Coturnix japonica: one gene and its partners. The protein of the gene in region 6 interacts with the protein of the main gene of each other region in a biochemical or structural test. Links are inferred from orthologs where the notes say so. Each region holds a gene or a part of one and is shown on either strand. Other genes may lie near its edges.

Region 1 (2,563 bases), on a different chromosome or scaffold from region 6:
TGAGACCACTGGAAAGCTCCAGCAATCAATTTACCCTACTATTAAAGATACTTAAAATCTTCATCTCTGAATATTATCAGGGTGATGCTTAATTATTCTATCTGCTCTTCTACTACCCCTAGTGTAGCTTTCACAGAGCCTGAAAAGGGAAGACAAGGAGGCATGCCTGCAGCTTTTCCTAGACAGCCTCTAGCTGACTCCATCATGCTATCATCCACGCTATCAGAATCAAAGGTGCCAAGTCAAAATCAAGACTCTTGTGACATTCCCAAAGTAAATCAGGCTTGTGGGACAACAGTTAGTTTACGGCCATATGACATGATAGGTGGAAGCCTCAGGATGCCGCACAACAGGAAAGTGCTGAGACGCAGTAGCAGCATCATTGGAGGATCTGCAGGCATTGAGATGCTGTTTGAAAGTAAGGCAGCCACAGCCAGCTTGAAAAGCATGGATACTACCCAAAGGGAAGAATCCAGATCCGAGAGAAAGGTGGAACTCTCTCCGGGCAAAAAGCTGTCAAAAAGTTTCTCCCAGAGCTGTGTATATGTCAGCACTGATAGGAAGGACAGTAAGAGGTGTTCGGGCACAGGCACCAGTCAGAAGGACTCCAAGCAGTGTCGAGCGTTGCCATTGCGGAAGCTGGACACCAGTACCTGGAGGTGTCGTGGTCCCTTTAGCTACTGCTTCCTGAGCAGAGGAAATGATGACAATGATGATGAAGATGATGGAGACGAAAGCCATCAGCTCTCATGTCTCTTCAAACCGGAGATCCCGTGTGAGCTCGCAGAACCAGCCAGTCAGTCTTTTTCCAGTGAAAATGAACAGAAGGACTTGGAGTCCCCGGAAGCTGATGAGTTCCCACAGGATGAGGCAGTTAATGAACACAAGAAGAGCAGTGCTGACACCCAAGGTGGCCAAATTGATGTGAATCTCAATGATGTGGCCTTCGATGCACGAATCGCGCGAATAAATGTGATGAAAGAGAAGATGTATGAAATGCCTGATGGATTTATTGCAGCACAAAAGGATGCCAATGAGTTACTCTCACTGGTCCGAGCAAGTATGGGCAAGAGAGAAGATTTACATCCCGAAACATATGACCTTAAACTTTCTAAGTACAAACAACTGTTATCTATGGAATCTAGACAGTTGGGAAGTGCCTGCAGGAAAATGGCCATGGCTGATAAAAGCCCTGAGGAAATGCTTTTAGCTATGACTTCCAGCTTTCAAGTACTCTGTTGCTTAACAGAAGCCTGCATGCGTTTAGTTAAAGTCATGAACTCTGAAACTCAGCAGCAGGAAATTATAGCTAAGATAGACGAGGTTGTAATAAACTACATTTGTCTTCTGAAGGCTGCAGAAGCCGTGTCAGGCAAGACCTCCAGTGATCCTAGCATTAAACTCTTGGCTCGACATTCAACTACCATGGCCGCTATTGTAAGCACACTAACACGTTCTCTTAAAATGCTTTTAAACAAATAAAATACAAAAGTCACTTCATAATCTACCTTTGCAAAGCCATACATTAAAAAAAACAACAACTAAAAACCTTTTATTTACTTTATGTGTATGAACTAATGTAACAAATCCAGCTTTCTCTGTATATTTTGTTATTTTATATAAAATAGGTAAGCAGTTAAAAATATGATAAAACACTGAACACTGACAACAGTGCTGACCAGATCTGTCCTTCCGTTTATACAAAAAGAAAAGCCAAAAAATCCCCTCTCCCCACAACCAGGAAAACAAACAGAAAAAAATCCTGTAGAGGAGCAAATTGACTTTTGGCTATTTTTCATATAGTCAAATCTATGGTTGTATGAAGTGAACTTTTAAAGTCTGTTATGTCAATTAAGTTGTTTTCTGTTTCATCCAAGTTTTCACTTGGAGAATGCTCCGTGTTTAGAAATGAAAAATGAGATCATAATGTATATAACACAATATTTAATGTTTTAAAATTATAATTTTTAAGCATTGAAAATAGCGAAGAGACATTTAAAATCCAAGAGACTATTATAAGTTACTAGAGAATATATATATAATAAATGACTCTTTTGTTCATATTGCCTGAATTACCTGATTCTTCTTTTCTAGAAAGTTCTATATTTAAAAAATAATATATAAAAAAAATAGAAGGTATTGAATATACCGAGTTTAGAGGGTATCTATCTGATGTATTGAACATTACAGTGTTGCATTTCAGACAGTGAACGTACCTGCAGAAGACAGACTGAGGTCATAGGAACCAGAATGGTGATGGTCCCTGAAAGGAGAATTTGATGCCATACTGATCAGATCAGAATGTATAGGGTGGATGTGCCCTGGTAAATGAGAGACACGACCGTCAGGAAATTCCTGTGCTGTTTACTGTTTCATCATAAATCTATGGTGCATCTGAACAACATGAACTGCATCTATTTTGTTAAATATTTTATACTTCATATTTTATGATTCTGAATGTTTAACTGTAAATAAGTTAGAAATAAAATGAAGTTTTCAGAATACAATAAATATCTATGAAATATTTCAAGCCAGAAACAGTCCTTCTCTGAGTGATGACAAA
Region 2 (3,942 bases), on a different chromosome or scaffold from region 6:
TCACCCCTGAGCTCTCTGCATGCATCTCTGCAGCACTAGACACACACAGAACATGGAGATACAGTGAGAAATTTTGACTCAGCATCTCAATCCCAGCTGTTACCAAAGGAAAGAACAAAACTAAGTATTGGCATCAGGAACCTGTAGCGTCCTTCAACTTTGAAAGTGTTCAGCACTGGGATGTGAACAGATTGCTGCCGTATTAAGGCTAAAATGCACACACTGAGCCTCTGCTGGCAAGATCTATTTTATATATATTCACACACACTCTACATACATCAGTGCTTCCATACTTAACAGAAATCTTTATGGATTTACAGAATGAAGACATACCTACATCTGCATCAAAGTATTAGAGCTCAGAAAGAACAGTTGTAAGTGCACCCTTCCAATTTGCCTTTAAATTTTAAAAATAATGGGAACGACTCTAATTCAGCACTAATTGTATGGCCAGTGTCATTTTTTAACTTCTATCTGAAGTTATTCCTGATTTAGATCAACAGATGTGAGAAAACGATCAGATTCCGAGTGTCAGACAGATGGTAACTGGACTTGTTGCAAGAAAGCATATATTCAGCATCACAGAAAAGACTCTCGAAAATATTAAAGAAGGCACCAGAACAACAAGGCACTTGAAGAGTGATGTGTCGGAGTCAAGAACGAAAAGATGAGAAACCGATTCCTTTCTCATACCAGGATGGCACCAATGTGACTTTCCCAACGTAAATGCCAATGACTGGTGCCAAAATGTGTAAGACAGAATGAAACTGCAGTTACAGTGCCAAGATAATAAAAGGAGTTTGGGAATATTCTATATCATATGAATCACATATTGAAATTAATGAAAATAAAGATCGTTACAGCAGTAAGGATTGGGATAATTATCTCCAAAGGAAACCAATGGAAACTGTTTCTTGGGACATGGAAGTGAGGTGGGATGAAATTTTTGCACTCTTAGCTTCAGTTTCCCCAGGAGCAGGAAGGAAGGAGGACTCCGAGACCGACCCAAGTTTTCTCATCTCTCAGTTCACAGAATCTGTTTATTTTTTCAAACATGTTCAACAATGAATGAAAGCTGTAAAGCCGTAACCGTCTTTTATTGCTTCAGGAGGTATCAGCCAAAGGGATAATACAAACAGTAAGGTTATCTAAAAATACTGCACTGAGCTACTTCAGAATATTTCCAATATTTCGGGTAACACATGCTCTAATTATACCCCAGCATCATTAACAAATTAAATAGCTTCATTTTTTGGTACTAAAACAAGGCAAGTCACCTGAGATACCATCTATTAATTTCAGCATGACAAGCCTGGGTTCCCAGTGGGGAGATAAAAAATCAATGGGAAAGAGAAGTCTTGGCTGTAAGCGGACGGCTGCCGGCTCGGTCACGCACCGCTAACTTCCCCCATTAGGCAGCCTGGCTGCTCGGATCCAGCCTGTTCGAGCAAGGAAACAGAAAAGAGGAATGAAAAGCAAAGCACACCGACAGCAGATGGTGATGAGATTCAGAAGTCATCTCCAAAGCCGAATAAGAAAAAGCCAAAAAGACACTGCAATGCCACCAAATTCAGCAGATGTGACTGCCGTGCGGATTAGGCTACTTGTTGCAGTCTACGTTCTACACCTGAGCACAGTAAGGTATCTCAGCAAGCAACAAGCGTTCCCTTACAGCTGTAACTTCATGAGGGAAATGTAGTGATGGTCACAGAGACAGCAGTGTAACACAGCTCTGGAGAACGAGCTCCTATTGCATACGCAGCCAGCGCAGCTCCGGAGCTGCTGACTGCAGTCACCCACAGCAGTGCCCGCACGCCTCACACGTTCAGCACCAATTCTGTTCTTTGTGGCATATGCACTGCTTCACTACAGGTGTAGCTGGAGACAAAACCATCAATCACGGACCCCAAAGTGCCCTCAGACGGCTCTTTCAGGAATGTGGGCACATCAGAGAGGCTCAGGGAAATCTGTTGCTGCAGTATTTCTGAGAAGAACACACAAACTTTCTTTTCACCTCGTTCAGCAAGGAAAAACCCTACGAAAACCCTGCCAACGCAAGAACATCTCCTCTGCGGTAAAGAACGAGCATGCTATGCATATACAGACGTGTGTAACTTTTCATACAGAATTGCTGCTAGCACCAGATGGCAATAAGCACTTTGTGACTCCGGATTCTAATGCCGAGAACTCGGCTGGAGTGCGGAGCGGGGCAGCGTGCGCCTCCCGCCGCGGCTGCCGAGCCCTGCGCCGCATCCCGCATCCCGAGCGGACCGGGCCGGTCCGGGGAGCTCCGCACATCGCTCCGGGGCTCGGACTCAGGAGCCGGCCCTGGAACAGCCGTCGGGAACCGCGCATGAGGAGGCCGGGCGGGCGCGGAGCACTCACCGCGGGGGCCGTCAGGCGGCGGATGCTCTCGCCCAGCGAGTCCAGGTTGACCCGCCGACGGCGCGGAACGCGGCGAGCCCCGGCGCTGGCCGCGGCGGCGGCGGCGGCGGCTGCGGCGGTGAGAGGTGGCTCGGCGGGGCCGGGAGGGCTGCGGCTGCCGTTCCAGCAAAGGCGGGACAGGGGACACTCGCCCTCCTCCTCGGGGCTGGTCTCCGGGCAGTCGGAGCCCAGCGAGCTGAAGGACTCGGAGGAGATCTTGCGGCGGGACATGGTGCCGCGGGCCGGCGGGGCTCAGCGCAGCGGAGGGCAGCGCGGGGCCGCGGGGCCGCGGGGGCGGCCGCCTGGCATGGCCGCGGAGCCCCTCGGCGGGGGGCGGCGGTGGATGCGCTCCGGGGCCGCTCCCGGCTCCGCGCTTCGCCGCGCCGCTCCGAGCCGCGGGTGCTGCGCGGCGCCGCCTCGCCGGGAGGCTTTAAAGCGGCGGCGGCGGCGGCTGCCCTCCTCTGCCTCGGCCGCCCTCCCTCGCTCTCCCCTCCCCCGGCTCCCTCGCTGCTCCGCGGGAATCACGTGTTGTTTGGAGCCCTTTCCTCCTCCTCCTCCTCCTCCCTCCTCTCCCCTCCCCGCTCGCCGCCTCTCGCACGCCGCGGCCCGGCAGCAGCCCCCTTAATGCCCCGCTCCCCGGCGCCGCGCTCTCCCCCCCCTCGCTATAGGGATGTCCCCGCGCTATGGGGATGTCCCCGCATTATGAGGGTGTCCCCGCATGGCCCCAACCGTGCCCGGCCGCGCCGCCTCCGAGCCCGCGGCGGTGCTGGACAGCTCCCTAAGCACGGGATGCCGGGGAAGGCGGCCGTGGGTGCCCGGCGCCGGAGGACTTCACTGAACGGCACAGCTAAACCTTAGGGAAATGGAAGGTGGTAAATATCGGAGAAGGCTGAAGGGCTGCCATCAGTTTTCAGAGGAAAAAGTTCTTTTCGGCTCTGACACTGTGGGTTACGTCCGAAAGAGTAACTAAACTCGTTCCCTGTTGTTACAATCCAGCTACAGTACCCATGTACTGTAGAAAGCCCACAAGGAAACATGCCCTCAGTGGTAGAGTTTCATCCAACCATCAAGAAAGACATTCATTCATCTTCTGTTGAACAAAACTTCCTTTGAAAGCAATGCTTTTAAGATCGTTTTTTCTTTACCTGTCCTCAGTATTATAGTATACACTTTACCACCTCATCATCTGAACTATCTGAGTGCAGCCTTGACAAAAGCCCACCTGAGATATTGGGAAGAGCACCGCAGGCATAGAGAGCTTTGGAGGATGGCCCAACACAACCCAAGTTCAGAAGGCCAGGTAGGCAGCTCTCAGAGAGGACATGGCGTGAATCACATATTTCACCAGGACATTCCTTTCAGTGCCACCATCTCTCAGCTCACCAGGTTTCTGTTGCAATTTTCTTCTTTCTCTAGAAATTTATATGGAGTAAGAGAAACAACAGAGCTCCTTTTGTCATGGCACAGTTCTTAAATCTCTGCATCTTGAAGCCTGTGGCTTAAAAGGATGTATCAAAA
Region 3 (3,500 bases), on a different chromosome or scaffold from region 6:
ATCATGAGAAGCCTGGGATCTTATCTCTATTTGAAACTGACTCTGGATCTTTTCCAAAAAGGTCATTTAGTAATCAAAAGTGCAAGCTACAAGGTAGTTCCAGTGTCTCTGTCAGAACTGTACTTACTTCAGTGCAACATGAAGTTTATGACCAACTCTGCGTTTGAGCGAGCCCTGCCAATATTAAACGTGGCTCTGGCATCCTTACATCCCATGACAGATGAACAGATTTTCCAAGCTATTAATGCAGGTCAAATAAATGGAGAGCAGCAATGGGAAGACTTCAGCCAAAGGATGGAAGCTCTGTCGTGTTTTCTGATAAAAAGACGTGACAAAACACGGATGTTCTGCCACCCTTCCTTCAGAGAATGGCTGGTTTGGAGAGCGGATGGTGAAAATACAGACTTCTTATGTGAGCCAAGGTAAACGAAGCTTGCAAGAAGTCATTTTCAAATAACTGCAGTTATTTACATAATTGATCTCAGCTATTGCTGAGAGGACAGATGAATGTTAAAAAGCAAACATGACTAATATTTTCCGTGTTTACTGGAAAGTGTAGTTATAAATGCTGTTCTCTTTGAATTCTGTTCCTTTTACTAGGAATGGACATGCTTTATTGGCTTTCATGTTTTCTCGACAAGAGGGAAAACTAAACCGCCAACAGACTATGGAACTTGGGCATCACATACTCAAAGCTCACATTTTTAAGGTAAATCCATTAACATAATAGATTTCAGGATCTGTATGTATCAGTGTACCTTAGAGATGCTAATCTGAGTTGCTTTAATAATTTGTTGGAAGCTTGTACAAAATACTTGAAATTGTTACTGGCATTAGCAAAAAATTTATCTTCTTTTTGTACTGATGAAATATAGCTATAAATAGTCTTTTACACACTACAGAGAGATTTCCTGTTGTATCATTCCTGCTAGGGTCTCAGTAAAAGGACTGGAATTTCTTCCAGTCATCTTCAAGCCTTGTGGATTGGTTATAGTGCTGATGGACTGTCTGCAGCCCTCGCTTCCTTGAGGAACATCTATACACCCAATGTGAAGGTAAGAAAATGAGCACTCGTGTATAATCAGTGTTCCATCTGCCACTGTTGCTATTACTCTGTTAACGAATGTTGAAATTAATGTAACAGTTCAGAAGAAAACAAAAACACCGTGCATCTGTAACCAGTAACTGAAATCTCTTACAACAAGCCTGCAAGTACTTTTGTTGTTAACATTAACAACATGTTGTTAATGTCCCATTCAGTTTTCCTTGATAGTTTGGTGTAAAGAAAGATTTCACCTTGATTTTGTTGTAGCCACACTCTGTTACTTAGGATGCCTTTTCAGGAGGTCAGAGGTATGACCTGTTTTGCTGGGCAGGGTCTGTATGTTCTTGTATGGAGGAAGTATCAAGTGAATTGAATGAAAAGAAGAAGTACTGTGATAACAAGATGAAAAATGGCAGAGCTTCACTCTATGAGATGAATGCCCGAGGTTATGGATTGGGATTGATGCATTCCTATTTTAGCAAAACTGCTGTGCATTTTGATTGGAAGTTTGGTTGTCTACACATGTGCACACACTCACATTTTTATTTTTTTTAATGCAATCCAATTTGAATTAAAAATTATTTTATTTAAATTAAATTTTAGGTCAGTCGGCTGCTGATCTCGGCAGGTGCAAATGTGAATTATAAGACTGAAGTACTAAATAATGCTCCAGTACTGTGTGTTCAGTCACACCTTGGACATGAGGAAGTGGTGACTCTTCTACTAGAATTTGGAGCTGCTATTGATGGAACATCAGAAAATGGAATGACCCCACTATGTTATGCAGCAGCTGCGGGTCACATGAACATAGTTTCACTGCTGTGCAAAAAGGGAGCAAAGGTGAGCTGAGACACAAAGGCTGCAGTTGTCACAGCCAAAAGTCTTGCAGGGGCCTAAGAAAGATGCTGATTACATAACTATATGCTGATATAATTAACACAGAGAGTACAAAAAGAAAGTCCAGAACGTGTACACAGACTTTTCAACAGAACGTTTTCTCTCTGATCGTGTCCATGACTAATCTTACATGCATTCATAATTACTCCAAAGGACTACGCACCTACCATCAAAACCTTTGCATTTCTATTGCTTAGAAAGCCAAGTACAAAATGCAGAGGTCTGACCTTCTTCCAGCCTTTGCAGCGCAGCCAGTCGTCCCTCTCTGTGAACTGATGCCTGGTTCCTTCCCAGCTGGAAGGCTGTACGCTTTATTGCAGTCCCGGCCCAGACCTGTAGCCTGTTGAGGTCCATGAGAATGGCAGCACAATCATTTGACATATCAGCCACTCTTTCCAGTTTTTTGTCACCTACAAATGTGGTGAGTTTGCACTCTGTCCCATCATACGGGGGCACTGATGAACAGTCTCAGGCCCATTGTTCATCACAGGAGTACACTGCTAATGAGTTGTCTCCAGATGGACTTTGTGCTTGGGCTCATCTGTTCAGCCAGTTTTAGGTACACACCACTGAATGTTGTGTTATGTGTGTCCATCAGCTTGTCCGTGACAGTGTTATGGCAGACAGTGTCAGAAGCCGCACTAAAGGCAGCACAGACGACATGTGCAGTTCTGCCAAGCCAGTCACCTTGTCTTCTTGTGGAAGACCACCAGGCTGGTTAAGCATGATTTTCCCTTCCCCCTGTGACCTTTCACTAGACTTTTTAACTTTATTTTTTCCAATGCAGGCTGACTATCTAGACAAAAAAGGGCAGTGTGCTTTGGTCCACAGTGCACTGAGAGGGCATTGTGATATCCTTGAATATCTTCTGAATGTTGTTTGGATAGCTTCTTCCCAGGAACAAAATTCACTACGAAAAAGCCAAGCACTGCAGCAATCGCTGACGGCAGCTTCCAGTATGGGGCACTGTCAGGTAGGTTGATAACTGGAATATTTCCTGGTCTGCTGGAATTTATCACAATGGTACAACAGTACTTGCAGGTTTTGCTTTGTTTTGTTTTTAAAGGGTTTTTAAAGCAGAATTGTTGAAATTTCTGATATTTTAAGCATTCTGCATTCTTAGAAACTCTTTCCAGTGCTGTAATTAAATATCCTACACAATGAATTGCTTCAGAATTTTGTCTACATGTAATACTCTGTCTTTCTCATTGCTGTTCTTGAGGCTGTACTATGTCTCCAGTGGTAGTGATAATATTCACTGTTTCACAGGATGCATTTGAGGATTCTGAACTGCAGTTAACTTGAATTCATGATTAACTCAATCTAATAAAAAATCTTATTTGTTACCCACTGATGGAAGTGAAAGCAGCCAACTACTCAATTATGAGAAAAATTGATCTCATCTATTATAAAAAATTACCTTTATCCTAATTTTTGTTTTTCTCAGCTAGAAAAAATGTTTCATTAATTTTAAATAAATTACATTCTACTATTTCAAAGTTTAGTATTTTCCGTACATTCTGTGTAGCACTTCTCATGCATCCTGAAAAATTCCATG
Region 4 (4,049 bases), on a different chromosome or scaffold from region 6:
ATTATGATGTTTGAGTGGATCAGTTTATGTTAAAAGCTTCTTTATTTTTCATGTGCATATGATGTAAAACAAAATATGACCCTTTAAGTATGAGGAAAGGAGGAAAATGCAGAATGGTTGTGGGTTGTTCCTGAAATGTTTTGGTGCGACATGAGGACATTGCTCATGGCAGAGAAGGTATCTTTCAGACATAAAAGGGAAGGGTATCTCAGTGGACTTCAGTGAGTTTCTGCTGCAGTGTGGTTGCCTGTGTATGCTACTTTTACTTAATGTGGTGTTGTATTTATTTTACAGAAAGTTTATAGGCAGCAACCCAATAGCAACATATTCTTCCTTGTAGACCGAACAGAAACACTGTCTCAATGCAAAAGTAAGTTTGCTGCACCAAAGGTAATAGTTCAACTGTTTAAAAGCTGTCTCTGTAGCTGTTGAAGATTTCCAAGTTGTAGTACAGTGGGAAAGCTGGCAACTGCATGTTAAATACCAAGTGGACTTCAGTTGTGCCTGCTTTTCTGGGCTGAATGAATGTGGTTCCCACTTGATTTGCATGTGTGGTAAAACAGCATGTGCTGAAGATACAGGAGGGAGTCCTTCCACAGAGGAGTCGCTTTTCTTAGTGCCCTTTGGGAAGCTCTGTGTGCTCAGTTCTCCTCCTTCTGTTTTTTAATTATTAACCCTTAGGAAACTGAAAGTGAAGCTAGACATCTTTAGGCAGCTGAGAGAATGAATTTGTGGGATTAACAAGATAGGGAAATGGAAGATTAAGACATATGTTAATTGAAGAAGGGTGTTAGAAATAAATGTGAAAGTATACAATTTCTTTCTGGAATGAAAAGTTGCCCATATCTTTTTTGATTGGAGTTTAATGTGTTGACACATTGTCTATTCATTTTTCTTACTAAAAGTGTGTAAATTGTGCTGATGATGTAGGCAATAATTGGCTTTTCATTTACATTATTAAACTTGCAGTATGAATTTCCTCAAGGGGGAAAAGAACTTAATCTATGGATAAGTAATGATAATTAGATTGTGGTGAGGTATGTTTGTATTAGATCAATACTGTAGCATGTGCGTTTCCTAGTTTTCCTGTCTTTAAATCATCAAGTAATTAATGACACTCAATTCTTAGATCTAAACTCACTTAGACATTTCTCTTGTTTTTTTTTTTAATAATGCAGATACATTAGATCAATTAAAGAAAGCACAGCAAGAGTTGGAAAATTCGGAGAAGAATAAAGTCAAGAAATAGTCCATCTTGAATTTCCAGTCACCATGTGTGGTATTTGTTGTGTTGTTGCTCTATCTGGCCAGAGTACTGTTTATGATCACTTCAATGAGGATCTGCACTGCCTTCTTAGAAGAAGAGGACCAGACAGCAGCCAACAGTTGATAAAGACTGTGTGTGAGCCATCCTATGAGTGTCTTTTCTCTGGCCACGTACTTCATCTGAGGGGACAGATGACTCCTCAGCCTCTGGAAGATGTCAATAACAATGTTTTTCTTTGGAATGGAGAAGTTTTTAATGGAGTACATGTAGGAGATTCAGAGAATGACACTGAGGTTATGTTTCATCATCTTGGACTGTGCAGTAGTGAAGCTGATATTTTATCGCTCTTCTCATCGCTCCGGGGTCCGTGGTCTTTTATTTATTACCAGGCATCTGGACACAGCTTATGGTTTGGTAGAGATTATTTTGGTCGTCGTAGTTTGCTTTGGCAGTTTAGTAATGTGAATGATAACGTTTTCTGTCTTTCATCTGTGAGTGTGAATTCAGAATCTTGTAACCAATGCCAAGAAGTCCCAGCATCTGGAATCTTCAAAATGGATCTCAAAGACTGTGCAACAACTCAATCCTTGTCTTTAACGTTGTTTCCATGGAAGTACAATTGCACAGAGAAAACTGAAGAAGAAATATTCATTGATGTTCTGGGTCAGATTTCTAAAGACTTACCAAATCACATCACTGTTAGGATGAATGAGTCCAAGATGTGTCTCAGTGCACCAGTAACCCCCTTAAACAGAACCATTTCTGAAGCCTCAGTTGAACATGCAAGCACTGATAGCAGTGATTCTAGCTGCACGGTTTCCATACAAACTCTAGAGGGATATCTTGCAGAGGAACGCAAGAAAATACTGGTCCATCAGTTCATTGATGTTTTAGATGAAGCAGTGAGGAAACGAGTTTTATTACTCTTCAGAGGTGAAGATCAGGGAACAAGAGAAGTTGAGGGTGTTTGTCCCAGGAAGGCTCGTGTTGCGGTGCTCTTTTCTGGTGGGGTTGACTCTATGGTTATTGCAGCCCTTGCTGATCGACACGTTCCTTTGGAGGAACCAATTGATCTTCTCAATGTAGCTTTCATGACCAAAGAACCAACTAAGCGAACAGGTGCCACTAAAAGCTGTGTCAGCCAAGAAATGCAGCTGAATTTGCATCATGGTCAAGAAAACCATAAAGATCTCAATGCTGAAATTGGTGATGATTTATCTCGCTTTGATGTTCCTGACAGAATTACTGGTAGGGCGGGGCTGAAAGAACTGGAAGCCCTTAACCCTTCAAGAACATGGAACTTTGTGGAAATTAATGTCACACTAAAGGAATTGAAAGAAATGAGACAGCAATTCATTCATAACTTAATTTATCCTCTGGATACGGTTTTGGATGATAGCATTGGTTGTGCTATCTGGTTTGCTTCCAGAGGACAGGGGTTTATTAATAAGAAAGGAGAAATGAAGCCATATAAAAGTCCTGCAAAGGTATTGATTGTTTCTTAAACTGTTTCATATTTTCATTCTTACACTTAATTTGTGAATGTGAAAACAGCTGTTTGGGAAATTAGAAGGGTTCCTTAATATTCACAAGCTTTCTGAAATTCTTTGGCAGAACACAATACAGATAAACTGTGTAATTCCGGAATTTAAACCTGCATTTAGTTCCTTATGTGAATGGATTTTCAGTGAGCTTGAATAAGCTGTAGTGACTAGGAAAAAAGTCAGTGCCTATCATTCTCAGTGTCTAAACTCAGTAGTGGGCAAGTGCTATTAATCCAATTGAACAAAACAATGAACTTTGTGTATTCTTCAGGCACACCATTTGTGTGGCAAAGTAGCTATTAATAATGACAAAAGGTGACTGCTTGCAATCTTTGTAATTACAGGCTGATTGAATGACTGTTCAATCCACAAAGAGTAATTCTTTCCTTCTTGTATGTTGTTTTCATGTGTGTAGCTCTAAGATCTGGTATGTATTACGAGCTTCCCTAGATATTAAGAAAGGTATCTCTGTTCTTTTTCTCTTAGGTTGTGCTTACAGGCATTGGAGCAGACGAGCAGCTTGCTGGCTATTCCCGACACCGTGTTTGCTTCAAGAAATGTGGCCCAGAAGGTCTGAATAAGGAACTTGAAATGGAGTTAGGTCGTATTTCTTCTAGAAATCTTGGTAGAGACGACCGGATTATTGGTGATCATGGGAAAGAAGCCAGGTAATACTAACATGAATCAAAACTGGTTTTTACTGGTTAAGTTCTGCTTCAAACAGTCTGAGAAAAAAGCTTTATTTGAATCTTGTTAGCACATTTTTGTGTCTGAATTCTGTTCTGTGGGTGTTAATCTGTAGTACCACGGCAAAGATACTTATGGAAATGTAGCAACATGAACATTGGATTTCTATCTGGATATTTTAAGAAGCAGCAACAGATGTTGGAGAAAGCACAATCAAGTGGGTTTTACTGTTTTAAGTGCAGTGGCCTTCTCAGCCTTGTGGTGTTCTGTTGTGGTAACCTGGGGACTGACTTTGGAGATGGAGAGTTTCTTAACGCTGCCTTGGAGAGGCTGTGATGCACTAGCAGAAATGCTGTGTATTCCTGCCCATGCAATCAAAGCATGATCAATATCCCGTGTATTTCCAGGTCTTTAGACTACTTTAAGAATTGGGTTTTTGACTTTACTTCTTCCATACTACTGCTCACCGACTTGCAAAACTGCAGTATGTTTTACCTACCCTCTCAGACAATAAAACTGCTTTGGAAAGTTCCCTCAGTAGCATGCAGCTA
Region 5 (4,140 bases), on a different chromosome or scaffold from region 6:
TGAAGTGGTAGTTCCCATGCTGCTCCTTGTTGCGCACCACTGCTTCCTCCCAAAAGGCTCTGACACTGAAAGCTGTCCTTCAAGCCACTTGTGGGATCATTTCCTACTCTGCTTCAATCCAAAGGGAATGAGCTGAGACCTCCTGTTTCAGGTGTCTGGGGTGAATATCTCCAAGGCTAAATAGGGTTTGAGAGCACACATTTGAGCAACTTTGCTGGCAGACTTTGGACTGGGACAGTAAGCAAAGCAACTGGAAGAGGACAACTATGCAAGGCCCTCAGTGCAACGAGAGCAGGCAAGGTCTGAAGTTACTAGTCTAGTTCCTTTATAAGCTGGTTTTCCATGTCCTCCTTCAGGTCTATGCTTTAAAAAGCTTATAGCACTGCTTACAAGCTGTATGTACCTCCTCCCTGGTGCAGGGATCTGTGAGCTCTGGTGACACTCACCTACACAGCCACTGCCTGCTGCAACTCCAGCCCCACATGGGGAGCAATAGGGCTATTACACCTCTTTGGTAGTCCATGTATACAGCTAAAGTGAAGAGCACTAGCAATAAATGACAGTGAAGTGCAGGTGGCCAACAGAGGGGAGATTACAAACAGGATTGTCCAAAGCAATTTGGGATGTAAACGACTGTAAGTGTAGGTGGTGAGGTTTGCTGGGAGACTCTCCAGCTACTGAACTGTAGTACATAGCAGGATTCCTGACCTACTGCCAGCTATCACAGCACAGCTGAGGCTGGCAGGGCCCTCTGGGTCCCTCTGCTCCAGCCCCTGCCCCAGCAGGGACACCCAGAGCAGGGTGCCTAGGGCTGCATTCACGCAGATCTGGAAGATCCCCAAGGAGGAGATCCCACATCACTGGGCAGCCTGTGCCAGTGCTCTGTCACTGCACAGCACAGAGGTATTTCCTGATGTTTATGAAATGAAACACAGCACCTAGAGATACATCTGGTCCTCCCGTGTGTGTTGACAGAACAGAAGAATAAACAGTTACATCTGCCGTGTGTATAGAACCCTATTTCACAACTGCAGTAAACTAGGAGCACTCATCTGTGCCATCTGTGTTTGGATGTGGTGCTCAGGGACATGATTTAGTGGAGGGTTGTTAGAGTTAGGGTAGTATGGTCAGGTTGTGTTTGGACTTGATGATCTTAAGGTCTCTTCCAACCTGAGCAATTCTATGATTCTATGATCCTGTGATCACTGTTGCAGTAAGGCGTTCACTGCAGCTTCTTGTTATGGCCTAAAATAGCAACGTATTTACTCCCTATCAGCGGTCAAAAAAAAAAAAAGCAGTCCCTTGGCTCCACAAACTCATCCTTGAATTGCTTGTGCTGAATATGGTTACTCATTAACCCCTAGAAGCATGCTTATGGTTTCACTCATTTCTGCACGAGAAGCCTGGGAAATAATGCTTCGTAATTCCACAGACTCCAATTACAGTGATCCATGTGAATGACATACGGGAACCTATCCTAAGAAATCAAGCAATGCCAGTTACTGAGAGTGCAGATATTTAAGTGCGGCCCAAACACAGGAATCCAGACAGTTTCCAGATGCTACATTAGCTGCAGGGCCCTTTTTGTTGGGCCAAAGCGCATGCGACACTGCCGTGCGATTGCTAGCAGCCCTCCTTGAGCTGAGAACATTTCTCTCTTAAGAAAACGTAAGATCTACTAATCAGGACCTACTTCCTTTTCTTACTACTGTTTGCTCTTGTGTGGCTTCTGCGTAAACAGCATTCGGGTTTTGCTTCAAGTTTTTGTGCTTCTGATTTCCAGCAACAAAACTGAAAGTGGTAAGCAACAGTGGGCAGAAGAAGGAGACCGAGCACACCAGAAGGCACACCAGCTGAGGTAAGACAAGGCTTGCCTGCTTTTTCTGACATAGATAGAATAGCTGCAGTGAAGAAAATACAATCTGCTTATATATTGCTTGCGGTAAGCTTTGCATATGATAGAAGCTGTGATCGTTAACTAAATTTCTCTATGACAAAGTTGGGCTTGAGAATTTTCTTTGGCAGAAAGGGTGGATTTATGTAACTTGCAGTGCTTCCAGATGGAAGATGACAGTCAAGTAGTGGGTCTGATTAAGTGAGTGCTGGCTTTTAACGAGATGACAAAAATATGTGGTCAATGGCAAACTTAAAATTAAAGAGGCTAGGAGTTAGAGTCTGAATTTATTTATCTGTAATATTGTGCATGCAGCGAGGTTAATAAAGCACTGCATGTTTTGGTGGATGTAATTCACTGTTAATTCCAAATACTGCATTCTGCTACATTTATTCTTGGTAACGCTACTCCTTAAAACACAACACGAAGACAGCAGAAGGAAAGCTAATGGGAACTTTGAGACATGTCAAAACTTTTGGTTTTCTCGAGATACAGAGGCAGATGCAAGCAATCCCAAACATAGCAGCAATGCCATGACTGCCTTAATATTATGAGTATGGGATTGTTGTGGCAGAAGCCTTCTTCTGACAGAGGACTGTTGTGATAGATGCACGGAGCACCTCCTTTTCCTGACATACAAACGGATCAATATATTTAATCTCTTAGGGCAAAAAAGACATGTATTTTGAATGAACATTCTGATACCTTTATTTATCACTGCATGTGCAGAACACCTCACCGAAAATATGTTCTCTGTGTTATAGAGATCTCAGGGTTTCAAAGTAGCGGATGTGAGAAACTTCTCAGTCTGGAAATGGAGAGTTTCCCTTTTACACTTTTAGCAGCAGCCTCTTCCAGCTCACCTCCCCCAGTGAGAGGAGATGACACAGAAAACAGCCCTCTTCTATCTGCCTGACCATAGACTCCCAACAGCCCTGATGAGCACCCCATGTGGGAACACATCAGTAGTGGTACATTCACACTATCCACCTCCTTCAGGAACCTGTAAAGCTTGACTGCATGTCTATCCTGTCTATGCTGAATTTACCCATACTTTTGAGTCCTTGCTCCGTCACCTTGCTGATTTCACTCACCCCTCTCTGCCTCTTCCCTAACTCTATAATGTCTTTTTTTGGGGGGTGCAGAGAGCAGAACTGCATGGCACATTCACTGGGGGAATGCAGGAAGGTTTTATACAAGGTGATTTTATACCAGCTGACCCAGACTTCTTGGTGATGTGACTCATTTTCTTGAAATTCTTGTTGCTTCCGCTGCAGCTTATGCAGAAATGACTTTGGCAAACAGTCGATGATGGGTCTATCACTGATGCCAAATGCCCTTTCCTCACAGTAACAGTTTCAAGTTCTGTATCATGTAAGCATGGTTTAGGTTATTTGCTCCAGCATTTATCACCTTCTACTAAAATGCTCATCTGCCAGCTTTCCAGCATGGCATCAATGAATGTCAGTGGGTGTAATTTTTTCCTCATGGAAGAGCTCTGTGACACTCCTTTGCTTCAAACACACGTCCTTGTCAGACACCATTTTGTCAGATTGTCCCTCTGATGCCATCTGCCAACAAAATGTAACAGGATGTTGTTGGGTAGGTTCCACATCTACTGCCATACCATTGCCTTCTGACTCTAATGTCATGGGCCAAAACAGTAAAACAGGAGGCATTACTTTTGGAGCAGCTCTCATATATATGGAAATCGGTCTTGGGGGTCAGTAGGCTCCCAGGCATCAGGACTGCTGACTCACAGCCCCCAGGCTTCTCTCCCACGCTGTTCTTGTAGATGAAGAGCTGCCCTAGTGATGCAGTGGTCCCCTGGAATGGCACATGATTATAATGGTGGGTTATGTGCCTTGGACAGCAGTCCAAGTCTGAGAGCCTTTGGGGTACTCATACAAATGTCATCTGGTCCTGATTACTTATTGGCCTCTCATCTGTCTATTCAGTTTGATATTTCCTACACATGTATGTCCAGTGCATCCAGCTCCTCCAACCTTACAGAAGTTTTGTTGAATCCTCTGTGATTTGGTTGTTGCTGTTGTGTGGTTTTGGTTTTGTGTGGTTTCTTTTGATTGTTTGTTTGTTGTTTTTACTGTTTTCCTATTCCCTCTAAAATGATGTCGATTTCTTGGTCCTGGGACTGCTCCTCTCTCCCACAACACTGACACTGTGAGTCCTATCATGATTGCTGGTACAGTGCTCCCTCCCTCCCTCCTGCCAGAACTGGGGCCTGT
Region 6 (4,037 bases):
CAGTTTAGTGCTGAGCTGGTAAATACCTCGTTTCACTGAGCAAGCAGTTTTAGAAGGATGCAAAGCCATGACGTCGGGTGCGCTGAGCCACAGCCTCAGAGCTGACCACTTCAGCATGCACAAAACCCATAAACCCTTTCCTGGAGATCACAACACCTTGGGTAACACTGCAATCTCCCCCTCACACCCTAACATCTGTCCCTCATGTGTAGCACCTCATGGTGCCTTTTCAAATTCTTTAAGCCCAAGTCAGCTTTTCTGCTCTGTGAGACACAAGCCTCTGAATCTCCTTGAAAACATGCATGTTATATTTTGGTAATACACAATGGCAGTGCCCTGCTAACCAGAGCAACAGCCCAGAGAGGAACTGTGCAGGGATTCACCCCAGCTCAGGGTGCTCCTTGTAATGCACAGCTTTCCAAGAAGTCGGGAAGCAGCACGTTCCTCTTGTCTGGGAGGTGAGGAAAAGCAACGCTCTTCCCTCCCGTACTTCAAAGGGGAAAAAATCTTCTGGCTATTCCTTCCCTTTATAGTAAAAAGACCATTTTAGGCTGTGCTACTGGAGAAAGGTCTCTGAAGTGGGAAACTGAATCCTTGGCTTACACAAGCCACTCAAGCAGAGGTTCACAGAATCCTAAATTGGAAGGGACCCCTACAGATCACTGAGTCCAACCCTAGCTGCACAGAGCAGCACCTCCTGGGGACACGCCGGAGACAATCCTGTATTTAGATATTCTGCTAAAACTGCAGAAGAAAACCAAGACAAATACTGCTTTCAGCACTGGAGTATTTTAAACATCTAAAGGGAGGACTACTGAAAGAGACTCTCAGTTTACAACTTACAAATTCCACTGCGGGAACAAGCACTGAAGCACATCAGCCTACACCTCCACGGAGCAAAGAAATGCAAGAAAACAGCTGCAGAGGCCAATGGAGCAAAGAGGAGTCGTCCCTGCTCAAACAGCTTCAAGTGTGCTCCTACCAGGAACAACTCAGAGTTTTTTAGCAGGCTTATGCAGCAGCAGCACAGTCAGGTGCTGTTTCCACAGGCAGCGTGCTGTGCGCTCCTCATTAGATCACAGCACAGGTCAGCTGCTGCTGGCCTGCACCCCGGGAGCCCCGCACTGTGCAAACAAACCAGTGGCACAATTCCGACATCACCGCTCCATTCAGACCTCAGTGAGTTTACATTAGGACTTCACAGGAATCTTTGCATGCAGTTAACAGGGAGGAGACATGGTTTGGTCATGGGAGCACAGGGCACGTGGTGGCCCTCAGCTTGTTAAAGCCTCACAGCAATCCCCGCACAGGTTTCACTGCAGTGTGGATGGCACTGAGCAGTTTCTCAGCAGCCAAAACCACAGATTAAATTTTCTCACCTCCCCCACCTTTACTGCACAGAACCACTTCTTAAAGCTTTTCCCATAACTTTGTGCCACAGTCAGTTGTTTGCAGCTGATGCTCATGTGTATCCCTGAACTGGCAGCAGCACTTCCTCTGCTTCTTAGAACATAAAAGAGACATGTGAAGAACTGTGTTTGAAGGTTACCTAATGCGCTGCTGGGATACCAAGGTAGGGGCACCCAGGGCTTGGAGGAAGGCATGGGGATGGCACAGTAGCACACTAAAAATGCCAATGACCTCTGGTTAAATGAACTTCTGGGCTAAGGTGCAATCACTTTATCAAACATATGCCAAGGGCACTGCTCAAGCTGTTCATTCTCTCAGGTCCAGCAACCACACAAATCCCGGGAAGAACACAAGGACTGCACGTCCATGATTGCCTCCCTCCTTATGAGCATGGTGTCCTGGGGAGTTATTCTGCCTCTGCTCAGCCCTTGCCAACAGTTGTTTCATGGACAACTCCCATACAACACATATACACACCATGCTCCAGACTCCGTTTCTAAAGCTGCTTCTTACCAAACTCAGTCATTCCCAGACACAAAACATTTGTGGGGATGGTTTCTGTGTCAGGAGGTACCAACAGCTTCCTCAGAGCCCACTCCCCCCGCCAAGGCCCGGTTCAGCCGCCGACTGTCGGGGCTCCGCAGTTTGGTCGCGCATCGGACGGCAGAGCCCCGACTCTGGCCGCTCTGCGGAGCCCCGACAGCCGCGCGGTGCCATCCGTGAGGCTCCGTCCCCGCGCCGTCGGGGTTCCCTACCGAAAGGGCGACCGGAGCGAGGCGCACGGAGCGGTCCCGCACCCCCCTCCGCCGGCAGCCCCGTACCTTCCAGCAGCACCTCCTTGCCGGCCCGCTTGAGTGCCTGCACCGCCTCGTCGTGGGTGGCATCCCGCAGGTCGGTGCCGTTGACGGCCAGGATGGCATCGCCCACGTAGAGGGCCTGGGTCTGGTCGGCCGCCAGCCCCTTGAAGATCTTGCTGATGAGGATGGGCATCTTGTTCTCCTTGCCTCCCTTGATGCTGATGCCCAACCCGCCCAGCTCCTGCTTCAGCACCTTCACGCAGCGCTTCTTGTTGGAGACGGCTTCGGGCACCTGCTCGGGGGGGTCGGTGAAGGCGGTGCGCACCGCCGAGCCCCCGCCGCCGCCCTCGGCTCCGCGGCACGCCGCCCCATCGCTTCCCAGCCCGTTGTGGGCCGCGCCGTCGGGGCGCTCCTCTCCGCTCAGCACCAGCGCCTCGCCGCCCAAGTTGGCCAGCACTTTGTGCCAGCGCTCCCGCACCAAAACTTCCAGCCAGCCGCTGCGCTGCGCCCGGCCGCCCCCGCCGCCGCCGCCCGCCGCCGCTACCGCCATCTTAGGAGCATGCTGGAAGCGCCGAGTGACGGCACCCCCGGCACGGCACGGAGCGGCGGTACCGGACTTCAGCCGGGGGCGGTGAGCTCCCGGCGCGGCGGGGTGGGGCGAGGTGCCGCGGCCGCCCCCCCGGGGCCGTGCCTGGGCGGGCGCACCTGGCGGCACCGCCCGCGGAGCGCGACTCCGTGCGGGAGAGCGTGCGGTCGGAGGGTCCGGGAGCTCCGCGAGCTCCGCACTCCCAGCTCCGCTGGATGGGCAGCGCAGGGTGAGCGGCGGACCTTCCGCGTCCCGCCGTCGCCGTCAGAAGGCTCGACTTGGGCTGAAAGCCGCCGAGAGCGGGGCGGGGGCTCCCGGCTTGTGCGGAGGAGAAGCGTGCGTTATCCTATGACTTTGCACTCATGAGCGTCCCTTCGAGCTGAGCGCGTTTACCACCGAAGGGATCCACTGAGAGCAGTGGTGTCAACCCCTCCATCCCCTCCCACCTTTTGCCTCTCCGTTGTGTAGCAGCGAGGGGAATGAAAGCAGTGGGATAGAGGAGAGTAATAGTGCTATCGGCAGAGAAGCTTTGGCAAAAAATACAAGTTTATTTTTCTCAGTTGCTTCTCGTAAATAAACGGATTAACACAAATAGTTGGTACAGAGTTAGACTACTTCAGTTGGGCAATCAAACTTGCTTCGCTGCTTCGGTGGATGAAGATGGTAAATGATTTTCATGAACCCTTTTGCAAATTTTTAAACTTTGTCCTTTGTTTGCTACGTTTTAAGCCCCGTGAAGTCCAGTTCTGCAGTCTTTCCCGTGCTCTCTCTCCTCCTAGGATGCAATCTGGTGCCTGATGAGTAGCCTGAGTCCCCAACTCAGTTGTGAAAGTGGACCAAAAAGGTCACCCTGGCAGCTTTGAGGTGTCATCAGCCAGTCTGGGTGTGCTGCTCTGAAGCAGTGTCACTGCAGCCATTGAGAACACCTCAGTTTCCCCTCCATCCAGGATGGCTCCAACTCCTTGTCAGCTGGGCTGAAAACTACAGCAGTTCAGGAGCACTTGGCATGTGCCAAGTGAGAGAGGGAACGGCCTCAAGTCGAGCCACGGGAGATTCACATTGGATATTCAGAAAAGTTTATTCTCTGAAAGAGTGGTGAGGTGTTGGCACAGGCTGCTCAGGGAGGTGCTGGAGTCACTGTCCCTGCAGGTGTTGAAGAAACGTGGCACTGAAAGCTTAGTGGGTGTGGTGGTGATGGGTTGATGGTCAGCTTAGATCATCTTTTTCAACCATAATGATTCTGT
Region 7 (3,500 bases), on a different chromosome or scaffold from region 6:
ACATGTTTTATTAGTTCATGTCATTTTTAACACCTGTTGGTGATGATGCAATTCATTGCAGTATCCCACTGATGCTGGGGAGAAGGGGACAGGAATGGAGTGCTGCAGTGACAGGGACAGGCTGGAAGATGGCTGGTCAATAAGACATGCTTAAGTCCTCTGGAAAAGCCTTGTGGGCCTCGGTGGTGTGATGGGTAACTTGCTAGACACTGGGTGGGGATGGGTGTACATGCATTACTCGCTGTGATGGAACTTGAGAAATCCCTCTGAGGAGGTGGTACTTCGTTTTTGCTTTCAGTTGAGCAAGGCTGTAACTCCCCTAATGCTGCTCTCTGAACTGCACATTCTACTGGAGAGCATCACTATTTTTTTCCCTCCTTGTCCGATGTTACTGAGTACAGATTTGGCAGTGAGACTAGAGACTTCCTTGCATAACCAGGCTGGAGGCAGAACCAAGCCCTACCTTTCCATCTCCCACCTTTGTAGCAATTGAAGATCCAGAATTTGCTTCTACCGTGCTCTTTAGAGCCTTGAAACAGATTGGCTGGAAGAGAAGCACTAGCTCTGGAGAATGGGAGTGCTGGTGCTAGTCAGAGTCAGCTCCTTCCGCTCCGACCTTTGCATGCTAAGCTGAGAGCGCTGAAACCGCTGCTGCAGCAGCTTCCATCTGTGGCCCAGTGCTTTTCACAGACAGCTGCAACGTCCTGGCAACACACTGAGCTCTGAGGAAAAGGTCAAGAGACCCGTTAAAGCTCTTTCCAAAATGAGAGGGAAGTTTTGAGCAGGACAGATAGGACGATTTTCCTAGTTCTCCTCCGCTCCAACTTTCTCAGCCAGGCTCCACTAAATGTGCCTGCCCTGCTTTGACGTGCCTGATTGTTTTTCTTCTTTAGTGCTTAGTTTCCATTTGCCACAAATTCTGTGGGCCTGCTGCTGCTTGTGCGGAACTGTTACAGCTGCAGCACGAGGAGTGCCAGCACCAGTGGAGCAAATAGCATGGGGCAGTGAGTAGGGATGGCCTTGCTAGGGCAGGAGCTCATCCGTGGAGCGATCTCACATGTGATTCTGAGGGTGTTTTCGTCAGGCTAAGTTGTGAAAATAAGCATAGACTGCCTTAAGGAAGAGCTTTGCTTTGAACTAGAGAGGCCCAGATGCTCCCAGTGGGTCTCAGGGACTGGACCCAACACCATAGCACCCAGCTCTCAGCTCAGCTGTTCTGCCTGCTTTGCAGACGTGGGGCCATCGCCAGCCCCACAGATCTGTGGGCAGCCTATTTAACTCCTGCTTTCTGTGTCAACAGCCAGCGCCCCACCGCCAGGCACAATGGAAACGTTTTTTAAGAGGCACTTTGGGAAGAAGGGGCTGCCAGGCCCACGTCGTGCCAGTGTGCTGGCAGTGCCCACGGGCAAGGCCCGCCGCCGCTCCCAGGCTGGGCTGCCCTCCGCTTCACTGGCCCAGCGCCGTCGTGGCTCGGGGGCCCCGCTGCCAGCCCTGTCCTGTTTGCCCCTGCCCCGCCGCCGTGGTCCCCGCCGTCGCTCCAGCACCACACCGCCGTGCCTCAGCCCCCGCTTTGCCGTGCAGCAGCGCGGGGGCTGCCCGCCAGCCATCAGTGCCACACTGCTGGGGCCCTCCGTGCTGCTGGCCGGCCTCCTCCCCACCGGGCAGGAGGGTGCCGGGGATGCCTCCAGCTCCTGGTCTGCAGAGGATGGCGATGGCAGGTTGGATCGGGGCAGGTGGTGGGCCGAGGAGAGCTGGCTGAGCGTATTGCCACGGCTGCGGCCGCTGCAGGTCAGGCTGCTGACACGGGGCCCTCGCTGCCTGCGCCGCACATCCTCCCACTGCCTGCCCACTGACGTTGGCTGCAGCCGGGCTCCCCATGGCCTGCCGGGCCGCTACCGTCGCCTCAGCCAGCGCCGCCGCTCCAGCAATGTCCTCTGGCCTGGACTGCTGGCCACCACTCACACGCAGTGGCTGGCCCAGCAGTGCACAGGGGCTGCCCTCCCCGAGTGCTTGGGACCAGAATCAGCCTGCTGCCCCGACGGCTGGAGCCCCAGGCTGCTGTATGTATGGCGGTGCGCAGGAGGCAATGCTTTGGGAAGGGGGGATGTGGTGGGCAGGGAGGGATGGGCAGGGCTATGTGTACCAGGGAAGGCTTCTTCAGGCTCCACAACATTCTGGGGAAGCACCCCGGGGCTTTTACCTGACAGCCCGGTGGGCTTTGACACGCCATTCTTCCTCTCCTGATCTAACAGCTGGCCTTCCCATGTTTTCCAGGAAAGCTATTGCCAAGTCCAGCCTCCAGCACATGGTAGCCCAGCCAAACCCTGCACTAGCGCTGAGGAACGAGTCAGAGAGGCAGATACGCAGCACTGTGGACTGGAGCGTAAGTGGTGGTGTGTGTTGCTGGGCGTTGTGTGGGACAGGCTCCTGGCCAGGATGCAGCGGGCTTCCAAAGTGACTTCGGCTTTGACACTTCTATGGCCTTCACTGTGCCACCATAACTTGTCCCTGGCACAAAGCAGTTTGGGACAGGGTGATCATTTGAGGATGCTCAGAGGAGCACGTTGTCTTGTGTCTTTCAGGAGACTGCAGTCTATGGGGAGCACATCTGGTTTGAGACCAATGTCTCTGGGGATTTCTGCTATGTCGGGGAGCAGAACTGCATGGCCAAGCTGCTGGTAAGTCGCCTGGGGTCAGCCGCATCCCCTGCGTGCTCCTCAGCTGCGTGCTGTGCTGCCACCCAGCGGAGAGACCCAGAAGGCCCTGGTGCTGGGAGAACTGGGGGGCTGGCAAGACGTGTTCCTCCGTCTCTGTGTGCTGCAGCGCTGCATGCCCAGTGTCTGCCAGTGCTGCCATTCAGTTTGCAGCAGGTGCCCAGTGCAGGGCTGCATGCAGCTGCAGGTCACTGCAGGGAGAGGTTGTTGGGATCACACATGCTTAGCGGAAGAATCTGAATTCAGCTTCTCTGGAAAAAACTTACAACAGAGGGGAAGAATGAGTGGAGATCCAGGTCTGCTGTCTCCTGTCCCTGCATGCTGTACTGGAGCCCCAACAGGCCTTGCAGCAGCATAGCTGCACTTCTCTCTCCCTGCTTGCAGACTCAATCCTGCTCATGGTGCTGGATGTGCAGCACTGATGCTACCGTGTGCCTGCCCCCTAGCCTCATAGTGCCTCTGGATGAGCCAAAGCTCTGGGCCAGACCACGAACATGCTTCCCAAACAATGTCCTATGTTGTTCTCTGGCAGTGTCAGAAGAGCCAAGGACTGCTTTGTCAGTGGGAGAGCACTTCCCTGTTGTGCTGCAGACTCAGGAGCATCTGCTCTAGGCACATACTTAGATCCTGTAACTGGCGAGGTGTCTAGATTGTATGAAACTCCTGTACTTGATTTTTACATCCTGAAATGTATGAAGGAAGTGTGAGAAGTGGTTGAGTTTCTGGCCTCCTTACCCTGCTGTTCACATGCATGTTTTTCCTCCCATTTTCTCATCCTCCAGCAAA

The links.
Region 1: the proteins of SNTB1 (region 6) and FRMPD4 interact in a test that uses a peptide from one of them, tested with the Homo sapiens proteins (2 studies listed by IntAct, with this or other methods). The link is inferred for Coturnix japonica from reciprocal best matches to the Homo sapiens genes SNTB1 and FRMPD4.
Region 2: the proteins of SNTB1 (region 6) and GUCY1A2 interact in a test that uses a peptide from one of them, tested with the Homo sapiens proteins (2 studies listed by IntAct, with this or other methods). The link is inferred for Coturnix japonica from reciprocal best matches to the Homo sapiens genes SNTB1 and GUCY1A2.
Region 3: the proteins of SNTB1 (region 6) and TANC1 interact in a test that uses a peptide from one of them, tested with the Homo sapiens proteins (2 studies listed by IntAct, with this or other methods). The link is inferred for Coturnix japonica from reciprocal best matches to the Homo sapiens genes SNTB1 and TANC1.
Region 4: the proteins of SNTB1 (region 6) and ASNSD1 interact in a test that uses a peptide from one of them, tested with the Homo sapiens proteins (2 studies listed by IntAct, with this or other methods). The link is inferred for Coturnix japonica from reciprocal best matches to the Homo sapiens genes SNTB1 and ASNSD1.
Region 5: the proteins of SNTB1 (region 6) and CYSLTR2 interact in a test that uses a peptide from one of them, tested with the Homo sapiens proteins (2 studies listed by IntAct, with this or other methods). The link is inferred for Coturnix japonica from reciprocal best matches to the Homo sapiens genes SNTB1 and CYSLTR2.
Region 7: the proteins of SNTB1 (region 6) and DGKZ form a complex in vitro, tested with the Homo sapiens proteins (2 studies listed by BioGRID and IntAct, with this or other methods). The link is inferred for Coturnix japonica from reciprocal best matches to the Homo sapiens genes SNTB1 and DGKZ.

What each region holds. Positions count from the first base shown.
Region 1 is NC_029516.1:111,273,979-111,276,541, reverse strand, and holds the end of FRMPD4 (FERM and PDZ domain-containing protein 4), read left to right. Parts: intron 1-122; coding exon of another isoform or gene 123-127; coding exon 128-1,482; 3' UTR 1,483-2,063; downstream 2,064-2,563. UniProt on the Homo sapiens protein: Positive regulator of dendritic spine morphogenesis and density. Required for the maintenance of excitatory synaptic transmission. Binds phosphatidylinositol 4,5-bisphosphate.
Region 2 is NC_029516.1:161,689,562-161,693,503, reverse strand, and holds the start of GUCY1A2 (guanylate cyclase soluble subunit alpha-2), read right to left. Parts: upstream 2,801-3,942; 5' UTR 2,656-2,800; coding exon 2,386-2,655; intron 1-2,385. UniProt on the Homo sapiens protein: Has guanylyl cyclase on binding to the beta-1 subunit. Isoform 2 acts as a negative regulator of guanylyl cyclase activity as it forms non-functional heterodimers with the beta subunits.
Region 3 is NC_029522.1:33,283,658-33,287,157, forward strand, and holds part of TANC1 (protein TANC1), read left to right. Parts: coding exon 1-422; intron 423-600; coding exon 601-709; intron 710-932; coding exon 933-1,055; intron 1,056-1,648; coding exon 1,649-1,885; intron 1,886-2,729; coding exon 2,730-2,915; intron 2,916-3,500. UniProt on the Homo sapiens protein: May be a scaffold component in the postsynaptic density.
Region 4 is NC_029522.1:4,419,386-4,423,434, reverse strand, and holds the start of ASNSD1 (asparagine synthetase domain-containing protein 1), read left to right. Parts: upstream 1-1,249; 5' UTR 1,250-1,272; coding exon 1,273-2,754; intron 2,755-3,297; coding exon 3,298-3,479; intron 3,480-4,049. Other genes in the region: ASDURF (ASNSD1 upstream open reading frame protein), read left to right, coding at 295-370, 1,179-1,249.
Region 5 is NC_029516.1:151,145,293-151,149,432, forward strand, and holds the start of CYSLTR2 (cysteinyl leukotriene receptor 2), read left to right. Parts: upstream 1-1,340; 5' UTR 1,341-1,668; intron 1,669-1,783; 5' UTR 1,784-1,858; intron 1,859-4,140. UniProt on the Homo sapiens protein: Receptor for cysteinyl leukotrienes. The response is mediated via a G-protein that activates a phosphatidylinositol-calcium second messenger system.
Region 6 is NC_029517.1:123,525,465-123,529,501, forward strand, and holds the start of SNTB1 (beta-1-syntrophin), read right to left. Parts: upstream 2,801-4,037; 5' UTR 2,758-2,800; coding exon 2,232-2,757; intron 1-2,231. UniProt on the Homo sapiens protein: Adapter protein that binds to and probably organizes the subcellular localization of a variety of membrane proteins. May link various receptors to the actin cytoskeleton and the dystrophin glycoprotein complex.
Region 7 is NC_029520.1:21,144,165-21,147,664, reverse strand, and holds part of DGKZ (diacylglycerol kinase zeta), read left to right. Parts: 5' UTR 1-1,323; coding exon 1,324-2,060; intron 2,061-2,274; coding exon 2,275-2,383; intron 2,384-2,582; coding exon 2,583-2,678; intron 2,679-3,496; coding exon 3,497-3,500. UniProt on the Homo sapiens protein: Diacylglycerol kinase that converts diacylglycerol/DAG into phosphatidic acid/phosphatidate/PA and regulates the respective levels of these two bioactive lipids.